Linked DNA regions of Macaca mulatta. The protein of the gene in region 2 interacts with the protein of the main gene of each other region in a pairwise test. Links are inferred from orthologs where the notes say so. Each region holds a gene or a part of one and is shown on either strand. Other genes may lie near its edges.

Region 1 (2,837 bases), on a different chromosome or scaffold from region 2:
TAAAATATACATGAAAACTCTTTACAAACTATTGAAAGATTCTTTCTAAATTACACAGAGCTCTCTACATAGGGGCTGCTATAACATTATGGTCATAATGACAGCTCAGAATCAAAGAAAAAGCTAAACGGCATTCCACATATTTTATTTTGTGATTAGTAAAGTATGTAATGACCTACCCACAGCCACAATCCCCCTCATTCCCTCCAGGAAAAGAGTTCTATCAAAAACATTTTAAGTTCTTAAAAGAATAAGTTCTTATTATCTAAAAAGTTTACTCATGAAACTATTCAATCCTCAATGATAACATATAACCATATTTGATGAATAAAGCATTAATTCTGTTTAAAGTGTAAAGTATTTCTAGGCTTGAAATTACATAATTTTTGCATTTTTGGTTCAGTATCACTTCGTAGACAGAAATAATTCTAACTATTGATGTTCACTGAGCTCTTCTTACTCTGTACCTGGGACTACTGTCAGCACTCCACATATAACAACTCATTTAATATCCACAATATTTGAAGGCTCATACCTTAAAAGACTAAGATTCTCTTTCCTTGGTATCTGCAGGAACCTTGGTACCTTCTCTTTCCGCACCTTAAACCATTCTGACTTACTCTAACCCTAAGTCTGTGTCACAGAATACTACCTGACCTCTAACCATTTTGAGTCTATGGATAAACCCTCAGATTTCTTAATTGCTCTGTTTCCAAAGCAAGAGGAACACCAAAATGCTATGATGGCTACCGTGAGACACAGACACTGATAGAGCCCACCTAAAGAGCAACAGCTGGCCTCTGCCCTGCACAGCCTAATCTCCCTTTATGTTTCAGACTGGAGTGCCAAAAAGTACTTCCTCTCCCTCCTGTGCCTCTCACCTGTTCTCCCACAGGGCCATCGGGAACCAAATGCACTGGCTGTTCGTTCTCCAAGTTCCGAGTACTTGGGTCGGCTCCCTTCCTCATCAACAGACGGACGGCATCTAATTGTGTCAGCCGGTACTGCAGGCTGGCAGCAACATGGAGGGCAGTGTTGCCATTGTAAGCCTGAAGATAAAACGAAATACCAGACATCAGGAAGGGGGAAATTTCATGAAAGGAGCTCAAAAACTTTGAGAAGGTATACAGAAGGCCATTCCCACTCTGGTGTGGTTATTAAAGCTTTCTAAAAGTACCTTTGCATTCACAAAAGACAGGCAACTGGGCAGCTCCAAAAAGAGGCGAATGAGTTCCAGATTTGCTTCTTCAGCTGCCAAATGCAGGGCTGTGCGGCCACTTTTGCGATCCTTGTCAAAGGCAAGAGGGAGACAAAAAAAAAAAAAAAGAAAATCCAGATACCATGCCTTGGAATACACTTTTCACCCAGTCTCTTGAATGTCTGATTCGGCTTCAGAGACTCACTTTGAATGCTCCCTTCTCCACAATGCCTTGCTTAATCCCAAGCTAAAGGGAATCTTTTATTTCCCTTAAATTTCCTATTAATTTGCCTGTATGCCTCTTATCACAATGTATCTTTTTATACAGAGTGGCCATAAAATGTAGAAAAATAAATGATATTTTTAAATCCTATGTCGTAACATATCAGTAAACCATGTATTATGTATTCACCTGCATTTCCGGACTTGGTAGCCTCCCTGCAGAGTCATATTTAGCTGTATCTCTCACCTCTTTGACTAGACAGTAAACCTCAAGGGTCCAAACGGTTTATGACTTAGGCAATTTTCCCCACATATTCAGTGAATAAAACCAAATTTTAAAAGAATATTTTCCAGCGTAAAAACAGAAGATGAATTCCACATCCCACAACAATGAAGAAACCCTTACAAAAAGCACTACCTTTATTCTCAGTGTAGGAAAACGGAAGCCAAAATGACAATATCAATTTTAGGCATTTTCTTTTCCTTTCAAAGACTAATTTATTTTACACCTAAATGACCTTTTGGATAATAATCCACAGATTCAAAGCAAATCAAAAAAACACATGAAACGATCTGTTAAAATCTGGGCTTCTTAACCACCCCATACATTGCTACTCACACCATTAATTTCAAAAAAAAAAAAAGGAAGTCTGAATCTGTACTTGGAAGCAAGGTCTTTTGCTCTTCTGCTATAACCAGCTTCTCCCCTACCCCATCTTAAACCTTTTCTTTGAATTTACCTTCGCTTCCACCGCTGCTCCCATTTGAATTAGGCACTTAATGGTATCAACCAGACTCTTATTCTTCAGTAAAAGCTCCTGAACTTCAGGTGAATGAGGCTGTTGATTTCTCTGGAGTTCATGGACCACAGCATTGTGGGCTATGACTGCACAATGAAGGGGAGTCAGGCCTAGAAGAAAAGTATAATCAAGCAGTGGTCGAGCATCCCATCAGGTCTTTTGGTCCTTCTATAACGACAAAAGTTGAGGATGGCCTCTAACTTAACCTACAAATGGGCTTCACAAGAACTAGTAAAGCAATCTGAATATAGTCCCTTTGTTGGGTCTCAGTGCTAATTTTATCTACAGAATATTTTAGCTTTAATTACCTTCCTTCTTAGCATGATACTTAGTACCCTTAGACCTTATGGGTCCCCCTCTCTAAGTGGCTCTCAATCTAATAAAGTTTCAGTTGCTTACCATCATAGTTAGTTGCCTCAAGATCCACAAACTGATTACTTCCCACTGCTCCCTTCTGAATCGCCTGCAGATTTTAAAAACAGACATCTGTTAGCAACACAAGCTGCACATATACCTAACTATTAGAATCCCCAAGAAATGAGTAAGTTAACTCAAAATAGATTATTGCAATAGGCAACCTATATCCAACTTCTAATATCCAACTGTATCTCTCTGGC
Region 2 (3,652 bases):
TTATTTTCTTTCTTTTTTTTTTTTTTGAGGCAGGGTCCCACTCTGTGGCCCAGTGCAGTGTAATGGCATGATCATAGCTCACTGCCTCCTCCAACTCCTGGACATGAGTGATCCTCCTACCTCGGCTTCCTGAGTAGCTAGAACTACAGGTGTGTGCCACCATGCCTGTTTAGTTTTTTGAGATGGAGTCTCACTCTTGTCACCCAGGCTGAAGTGTAATGGCACATGTCTAGTTTTTTAAATTTTTGTAGGAATGGGACCTCACTTTGTTGCCCAGGCTGGTCTCAAACTCCTGGGTTCAAGCAATCCTCCTGATTCTGCCTCCCAAAGCACTGGGATTTATAGGCGTGAGCCACGACACCCAATCCCCATAAACCTTTTCAATGTCAGCCTTCAACTGATCAAAGGACACAACATTATGTTTCAAGACATTGATAACATGCACAAGGAATAAGTGAATAGAGAGTAAGAAAAAGCTCATTAAATCTATCTCCAGGAATAGAGAATATTAGGCCAGGCACAGTGGGTCACACCTGTAATCCCAGAAATTTGAGAGGCCGAGGCAGGTGGATCGCTTGAGACCAGGAGTTTGAGACCAGCCTGGCCAACATGGTGAAACCCCATCTGTACTAAAACACAAAAAAATAGCCAGGCATGGTGGCATGGGCCTGTAATCCTGGCTACTTGGAAGGTTGTGGCTAAGATTGCTTGAACCTGGGAGGAGAAGGTTGCAGCAAGCCATGATCGTGTCACTGCACTCTAACCTGGGTGACAAAGTGAGACTCTAGTCTCAAAAAAAAAAAAAAAAAAGAATAGAGAAGTTTAGCATCATTCCATCATTCTTTGATGGTTTATCACTAGTGTAATAAACCAAAAGACTAGAAAGACAGAAAGTGAAAGGAGAGGGAGAAGGACTGCTGCAGGGATTTCTGAACTCCCTAACTCTTTTCTGGCACTTCTATCCTCCCATTCCCAGAACTTAAGCTTCTTCGTTCCCTGGTCAGGAAGCATGTAAAACTGCTTTCAGTAAATTAACAACACTCGGGGTTAGTGAGGATATGAATAGACACGCATTCTCATGTAGAGTTGCCCTAAATTTCCAGTTCAGGCTCTGTATCTCAAGTGTCTCCTAGGGCAAGCTGGTGCAACATGCTCACTATAGGGCCTTGCACATGAAGGGTGTGCAGTAAGATTTACTGGATGAAGGTAAAAGTGCAGATTACAGAAAAGCATATAAAGATCCTGGGCTGGGCACAGCAGCTCACATCTATAATTCCAGCGCTTCTGAGAGGCCAAAGTGGGATGATCCCTTGAGCCCAGGAGTTTGAGACCAGTCCAGGCAACAAAGTAAGACCCTGTCTCTATAAAAAATTTAAGAATTAGCCAGGTGTGGTGGTGCACACCTGTAGTCCCAGCTACTCAGAAGGCAAAGGTGGGAAGATTGCTTGAGCCCAGGAGGTCAAGGCTCTAGTGAGCCATGATTGCATCACTGTACTCTAGACTGGGTAACACAGTGAGACCCTGACTCCAAAAAAAGAAAAAAAAATGATCCTGCTAATATAAACTGTATAAATTTCTGTCTTTATGTGTATATACATAATGACAGATGTCTAGACTGCGCGTCAACTAAAATTGTAACTACCAGTACTGCTGATGATTTAATTTAAAAATCTTTTCTTCGGCCAGGTGCGGTGGTTCACGCCTGTAATCCCAGCACTTTGGGAGGCCAAGACGGGCGGATCAGGAGATTGAGACTATCCTGGCCAACACGGTGAAACCCTGTCTCTACTAAAAATACAAAAATTAGCCGGGCATAGTGGCGGGCGCCTGTAGTCCCAGCTACTTGGTAGGCTGAGGCAGGAGAATGGCGTGAACCTGGGAGGCGGAGCTTACAGTGAGGGGAGATCGCGCCACTGCACTCCAGCCTGGGCAACAGAGCGAGACTCCATCTCAAAAAAAAAAAAAAAATTTTTTTTCTTCACTTGATTAATTTTCTGTATTTGGATTTTTCCCCTTAAAAAGGGCATGCGTTGTTTTAGATTACTAAAATAACTAAAATTAAAAGTTTTGTTTATCTGTTAAATACAGTTAAACCAAAAGCCTTAATTGAATCAAGTAAAATATACTTAAAATATAATAATATAAATACATTTTTTTAAACAAAGTTTCTCCAAATAAAGTAAAAACTTTATTTTATTTTTATTTTTTTGAGATGGAGTCTCACTGTGTCACCCAGGCTGGTTGGCATCCGGTAGTGCGATCTCGGCTCACTGCAACCTCCATATCCCAGGTTCAAGTGATTCTCCTGCCTCAGCCGCCCAGAGTAGCTGGGACTACAGGCATGCACCACCATGCCCGGCTAATTTTTATGTTTTTAGCAGAAATGGGTTTTCACCATGTTAGCCAGGCTGGTCTCCAACACCTGACCTCAAGTGATCCGCCCATCTTGGCCTCCGCCCAGCCAAAATAAAGTAAAAACTTTAATTATTGGGTTAAATTTGAATATGGAAAAGTCCCCACGTTGGAGATAGAGTACCAATTCTGTGGGCCTGCAGTTAAGATCAGAATTCAATCTAGCTTTCGAGAAAGAAAGGAAAAGCTTCTTTCATCCTTTACCAGTTTTCTAGCCGATCTAGGCAGATGTTGGGCGGACCTCCAATGCAGGCAATCTGTTGCCGCCTCTTCCAGTCAGCCAGCTCCTCGTCTGTGAGAGTTTTCTGCACGTACTCCATCGCTGACAAAAGCCCCGCCAGCTCACTCACGATGCTCTGGTTGGAAACCAAAACAAAGTCAGAAAACATTTCCTCAGACAGTCTCTAACCACATTCTTTAGTCAACTCCAGAGCAGGAACTTCTTAGAAACCAAGCAAGTTCTGCCACAAGATGCTGAAATCCCGCAAGTGAGCGAGACACACAGGGGAAGTGGTCCGACCGATGCCCTTACTCTCCGCATCTGGTCCAGCGCAGTGAGCATCTGTTCCAGCTGCTGCATCTTCTGCCTGGTCACTGACTGGTTGTTTCCATTCAGATCTTGCATGTCTGCGGAGGAAGGAGAAACTCCTTGACCTGAGGGAATAATCCTGTCCTTAATGACCAGGCTCCTTTGAGCACCCGTAACTCCCTTGCGCCCCGACCGCCTTAAGATCTAAGAGTTAAGACAAATGACTCTTTCAACTCAACAACACAAACTCACTTTCTAGAGATTTTAACGTCTCTAATATTCACTTGCCTCCTTGACTCTTGAGGGTTTTATAGTTGAAATCAAAGTCATCCTGGAGATTCTCTACCACTTTCATTTTCTGTTCTAGATCCTGTTTAAAATAAGTAAACAAAAAAACAGAAGTAAAAAAAGATTTCCTTGGGAACAGAAAAAATAACGTATCGGAGGAGAATTCAAATGAAGCCAAAACCTCAAAAAAGATACATGGAGGACTTGCAGGCAGTATCCCCAAGAGAAGACTCCCTGGTGGCCAGGCGCAGTGGCTCACGCCTGTAATCCTAGCACTTTGAGAGACTGAGTTGGGAGGATCACTTGAGCCCAGGAGTTTGAGATCAGCCTGGGCAACACAGGGAGACCCCCATCTCTACAAAATTTTGTTTTAAATTAGCTGGGCGTGGTGGTGCACGCCTGCGGTCCTGGTTACTTGGGAGG
Region 3 (3,752 bases), on a different chromosome or scaffold from region 2:
GTTGCTTAATCATAATTCCTTGTCTTCTTTTCTTTTCTTTTCTTTTTGTTTGAGGCGGGTGGACAGAGCAAGCTACACACCAGACATAAGTAAAGAGAAGGCTTGGTTCAAACAGAGAGAGGCCTCTTGGTCACTTTTTCTTATGACATAGTGAATGTTTTTTTTCAGAGCACAAATACATCTGGAAGATACACATTAGGTTCCCAGTGCCTGTTCACTGGCTGAACTGGGAAAGAACTAGATATATGTGATTTTTAGGGACTTTAAAATAAAATACCTAAATCCTCAAGTCACTGGGTATTATAGGTTATAAATGAGGAGCAAGAGCAACAATTTGAAACACAATGGGTATGCTGAATACAGGCCAGGGCTGCTGAAAGCTAAGCAGGTGGGGTCACTTACATGCTGGAGGCACTGGCAATCTAAGAATGCTGGTCTTGAGGTTTGCCATGTCTTGTGGTTTCAAAGATACGGATCATTAACAGATTAAGTAGACACTTAAGGGGAAGGTCTTCCAGTTTTAGACTATTTTTCCATTCAATTTCTTAAGCTGTATTTCTTAGAGTACTACCTTAAAAAGTGGTCTTCGGTTTTTTTATCCCATAATATTCTACAGTTTTCACATTAAAATTTTGCTATTTCTAGCTTTTGGTCAAAACAAGACTAGGTTGAATTCATAAGAACAAACATCCCCTCTGGACATGTCTGGGTTATACCGACAGTATATTTACTGTACACAGTGACCTCATGAGCTAGGGAAGTGTCCTCTCACAATGTAAGATAGCACCTGTCAATGTAAGACAGCTCCTGTCATACGACGCAGAATGCAGACAAGTGAAAGGTCTTGGGGAGCTGACCTTCTGCTTCTCTGGGTCAACAGGCCACAGCACCTAATAAGGACACGGAGGGGGAGGGGCTAACCTAGTAACAGCATCTGCGTCAAAGAGAAACTACATTGTTCACAAGATTAACTTCCTGATACTAATAAGGGGACAGTAACTTGCTTATTTAGAACCTGGTGGGTTTTTACCATATTTCCTAAGTGGGTGAATGATTAGCAATCAAGTTCAACCCAAAGGAAGTGCCCATGAGAATCGGGCTATGTAATTACTAATAAACGTCTTTAAGTTGTACAAACAAGGGTTTATATTTACCAGATCTAGAATTTCTTCGCTGGAAACCACCCTGGAACATTTAATTCAACCACAAGTTTGGTTTCGAACTGAACTCACATAAATACGAGTAACACTTTGTCCTAATTTATTCTGAACATTCAAAAATAAATAACTAAAATAAGAAACAAAGAACTTTCTTTTTTTCTTTTTTTTCTGTTGCAGAAGCAAAGGGACTCAGTACCAGAGGAAGTTCGCTTTTCAGTGTCACTATATCAAAAGCTACCACAAATGCGGACAATAACGGCCCTTTAATATTAAAGGTAAAAGCTAACCTGTCCAGCTACAGCAGCAAAGTAACCATACAGCGGATCCTGAGTTTGTCCGGGAAACGCAGGTCCTCCGGGAGCCCCTCCGTACTGTGAAACAGGAAACACAAACCCGTCATTCAAGTTTTCTTCTTTCACCACTGCAAGGCCAGACAACTGCCCGCCTGCCTGCCCTTCACAAGGCTCACCTCCCCACCCCCAGGCACACTCTGCCAACACTCCACCCCTCTCTTCCATTCACACCCCCGTAATTTAAAAACTGGCGACTTGGACCATAAAGAGTTGCTGTGGAAGTGATGTCTGCATATGTAAAGCAACTTTTAAAATCCCTATTAACTTGAAGGTTACTGAGGTGAGTGCAAACTAGGCAAGCCAATGAAAGGGCTTGGAATTCTCCTTTTGTTGTTACAGCATTTATGGTATTTTAAAAGCGTTTTATGAACGATGGAAGGCTGGAGTTGGTAACATTCTGAGACGGGTGTAGCCTAGGGAAGAGTAAGGTGTCTGACCGGGCTGTATCTCGTGGGTGGCGAGGGAACACTGCCTGTCTCGGAAACAGTTCCCAAGACAACGCGCATCCCAGACGCCCGGCAAGGCTGCCTTCCTACAGGTCTTTTACTTCAGTAGGTTTTCCTTTTTTTTCTGTCCCCCTTCTCACTTTTTTTTTTTTTTTTTTTTTTTTTTTGAGGGAGGAAGGTATATCGAAGTATCATTCTAGAATAAAATGACTGTTGTTGCTTTGGGAGGCAACCGAGAGGGCGGGGGTGGGGTGAAGTGGGGGTTAGTCAACACCCAATTAACACGATTTCATGCCGCGTATCCGAGAAGCCGCAGGGCGGGCTTCTGGGGTCCCAATCCACCTTCACCTTGGGCCCGCAGAGCCATCCAGGAGAAGGGACGGGGGAAACCAGGGGAGAGGCCGAACCGCAGGGGCCTAGGGCGAGGCCGCGAGCGCAGGCAGAAGCCGAGGGCGGAAGGAGCCCGGGCAGCTGCCCAGCAGCGCCTCACCCCGCTGGCCGCAGCATCTCCAAGGTGGCCTCTTAGCGCCCCGGAGCCGCCTGGGCAGCGATCCCGCGCAATCAGCACTTACCCCGCCTGGGTAGTACCCGCCGCCGGCGCCAGGATGCCCTGGGTACGCCATGGTGCAGACTGCGCCGCCGCCTCCCTGGCTCTGTGCACCAAGCCTCCCAGCCGCCTGCCCCGCCCCGCCCTGCCGCGAGGGGGCCGCCCCAGAGCGCACCACACGGGCGTGGGGGAGGCGCTCCGCAGCTGTCTTCAGTTCCTGCCTGTGCACGCGGCCGTGGCTCCACTGCCTGCGCGCTTCTTCCTATCTTTGCCATTACGGTGCTAACGCAGTGCACGACCGAAGGTCCAGTGGTGGCCTACGACCTGCGAGGCAATTCACACCAGGGACTTTCCTCCCTCCGAAACTAATGGCACATTCCAACATCGATACACCGCCCCAGGAATTCTTTTTTTTTTTTTTTTTTTCCGTCGGACTTGGCTATTATCTGGCACATTTCTTATTTTAAACAACTTTATTGGACAGGACGGAGCTACTATAAGCGGAGCGCACCATCGCGAGGCAGGGGCTGAATTCCTTCGGGCAAGTCTTAGGTGCTAGTGGGTGAAGGAGTCGTTGAACGATGGAAATACGAAAGCTCCCTTGGAAAAGAAGAATTAACTTGACGAACGGTGTGCAAGGGAGAGTCTGGCTTGCGGTTGATTGCAAAGTTCATTCAACGACAACGGCGTATTTCCTTCCTAGGGGTCAATTACTTGCCTGTTTAAGCTGGGCGTGGCTCGTGTCCTGAGTAGGACAGGGGGCATTTTCCAGGCAGGACAGCCTCACCCAGATCGTTCTTAGCAAAATGAATTGTTTGAATTATCTGGATGATTCAGACAAAACAATCCATTTCCCTAAAATTATTCAGCTACTTTTTATATAAGAAAAGTTTAGAACAAAGTAAGAGTGTGTTTTTTCAGTATTCAGGAAGATAAGAGATAGGAACTTCAATGTAGGTTATTCTTCTTTACTTCACATATTTTTCTATCTCCCAGTTGAATAGTCCGAAGCAATTCAGGCGTGAGCTTTTTGTTTTGTTTTGTTTTGTTTTGTGTAATTTCAATGACACAGAAAAATGTTTGCTTGCCCTTCACTGTTAAGGACTAGACTTAATGATTTCCTGAATTTTAACATAGTGAGAAACGCATTAATAAGCAAGATTCACAGTATTTGTTGTGGAGGTTGCACAGAAACATTTAAAGGGTCATCAACATTTCACAAATATTGGAACACCCGCCAGTGTGC

What was found.
Region 1: the proteins of STAT3 (region 2) and NFKBIZ interact in a two-hybrid assay, tested with the Homo sapiens proteins (2 studies listed by BioGRID and IntAct). The link is inferred for Macaca mulatta from reciprocal best matches to the Homo sapiens genes STAT3 and NFKBIZ.
Region 3: the proteins of STAT3 (region 2) and SRI interact in binary tests that used the Homo sapiens proteins (3 or more experiments, as listed by UniProt). The link is inferred for Macaca mulatta from reciprocal best matches to the Homo sapiens genes STAT3 and SRI.

What each region holds. Positions count from the first base shown.
Region 1 is NC_133407.1:181,752,278-181,755,114, forward strand, and holds the end of NFKBIZ (NF-kappa-B inhibitor zeta), read right to left. Parts: intron 2,684-2,837; coding exon 2,620-2,683; intron 2,331-2,619; coding exon 2,161-2,330; intron 1,289-2,160; coding exon 1,178-1,288; intron 1,050-1,177; coding exon 780-1,049; 3' UTR 635-779; downstream 1-634. UniProt on the Homo sapiens protein: Involved in regulation of NF-kappa-B transcription factor complexes. Inhibits NF-kappa-B activity without affecting its nuclear translocation upon stimulation.
Region 2 is NC_133421.1:66,679,843-66,683,494, forward strand, and holds part of STAT3 (signal transducer and activator of transcription 3), read right to left. Parts: exon of another isoform or gene 3,312-3,652; coding exon 3,230-3,311; exon of another isoform or gene 3,067-3,229; coding exon 2,945-3,066; exon of another isoform or gene 2,769-2,944; coding exon 2,617-2,768; exon of another isoform or gene 2,462-2,616; intron 1,726-2,461; exon of another isoform or gene 1,299-1,725; intron 567-1,298; exon of another isoform or gene 1-566. UniProt on the Homo sapiens protein: Signal transducer and transcription activator that mediates cellular responses to interleukins, KITLG/SCF, LEP and other growth factors. Once activated, recruits coactivators, such as NCOA1 or MED1, to the promoter region of the target gene.
Region 3 is NC_133408.1:131,185,385-131,189,136, reverse strand, and holds the start of SRI (sorcin), read right to left. Parts: upstream 2,625-3,752; 5' UTR 2,583-2,624; coding exon 2,532-2,582; intron 1,794-2,531; exon of another isoform or gene 1,723-1,793; intron 1,532-1,722; coding exon 1,448-1,531; intron 1-1,447. UniProt on the Homo sapiens protein: Calcium-binding protein that modulates excitation-contraction coupling in the heart. Contributes to calcium homeostasis in the heart sarcoplasmic reticulum. Modulates the activity of RYR2 calcium channels.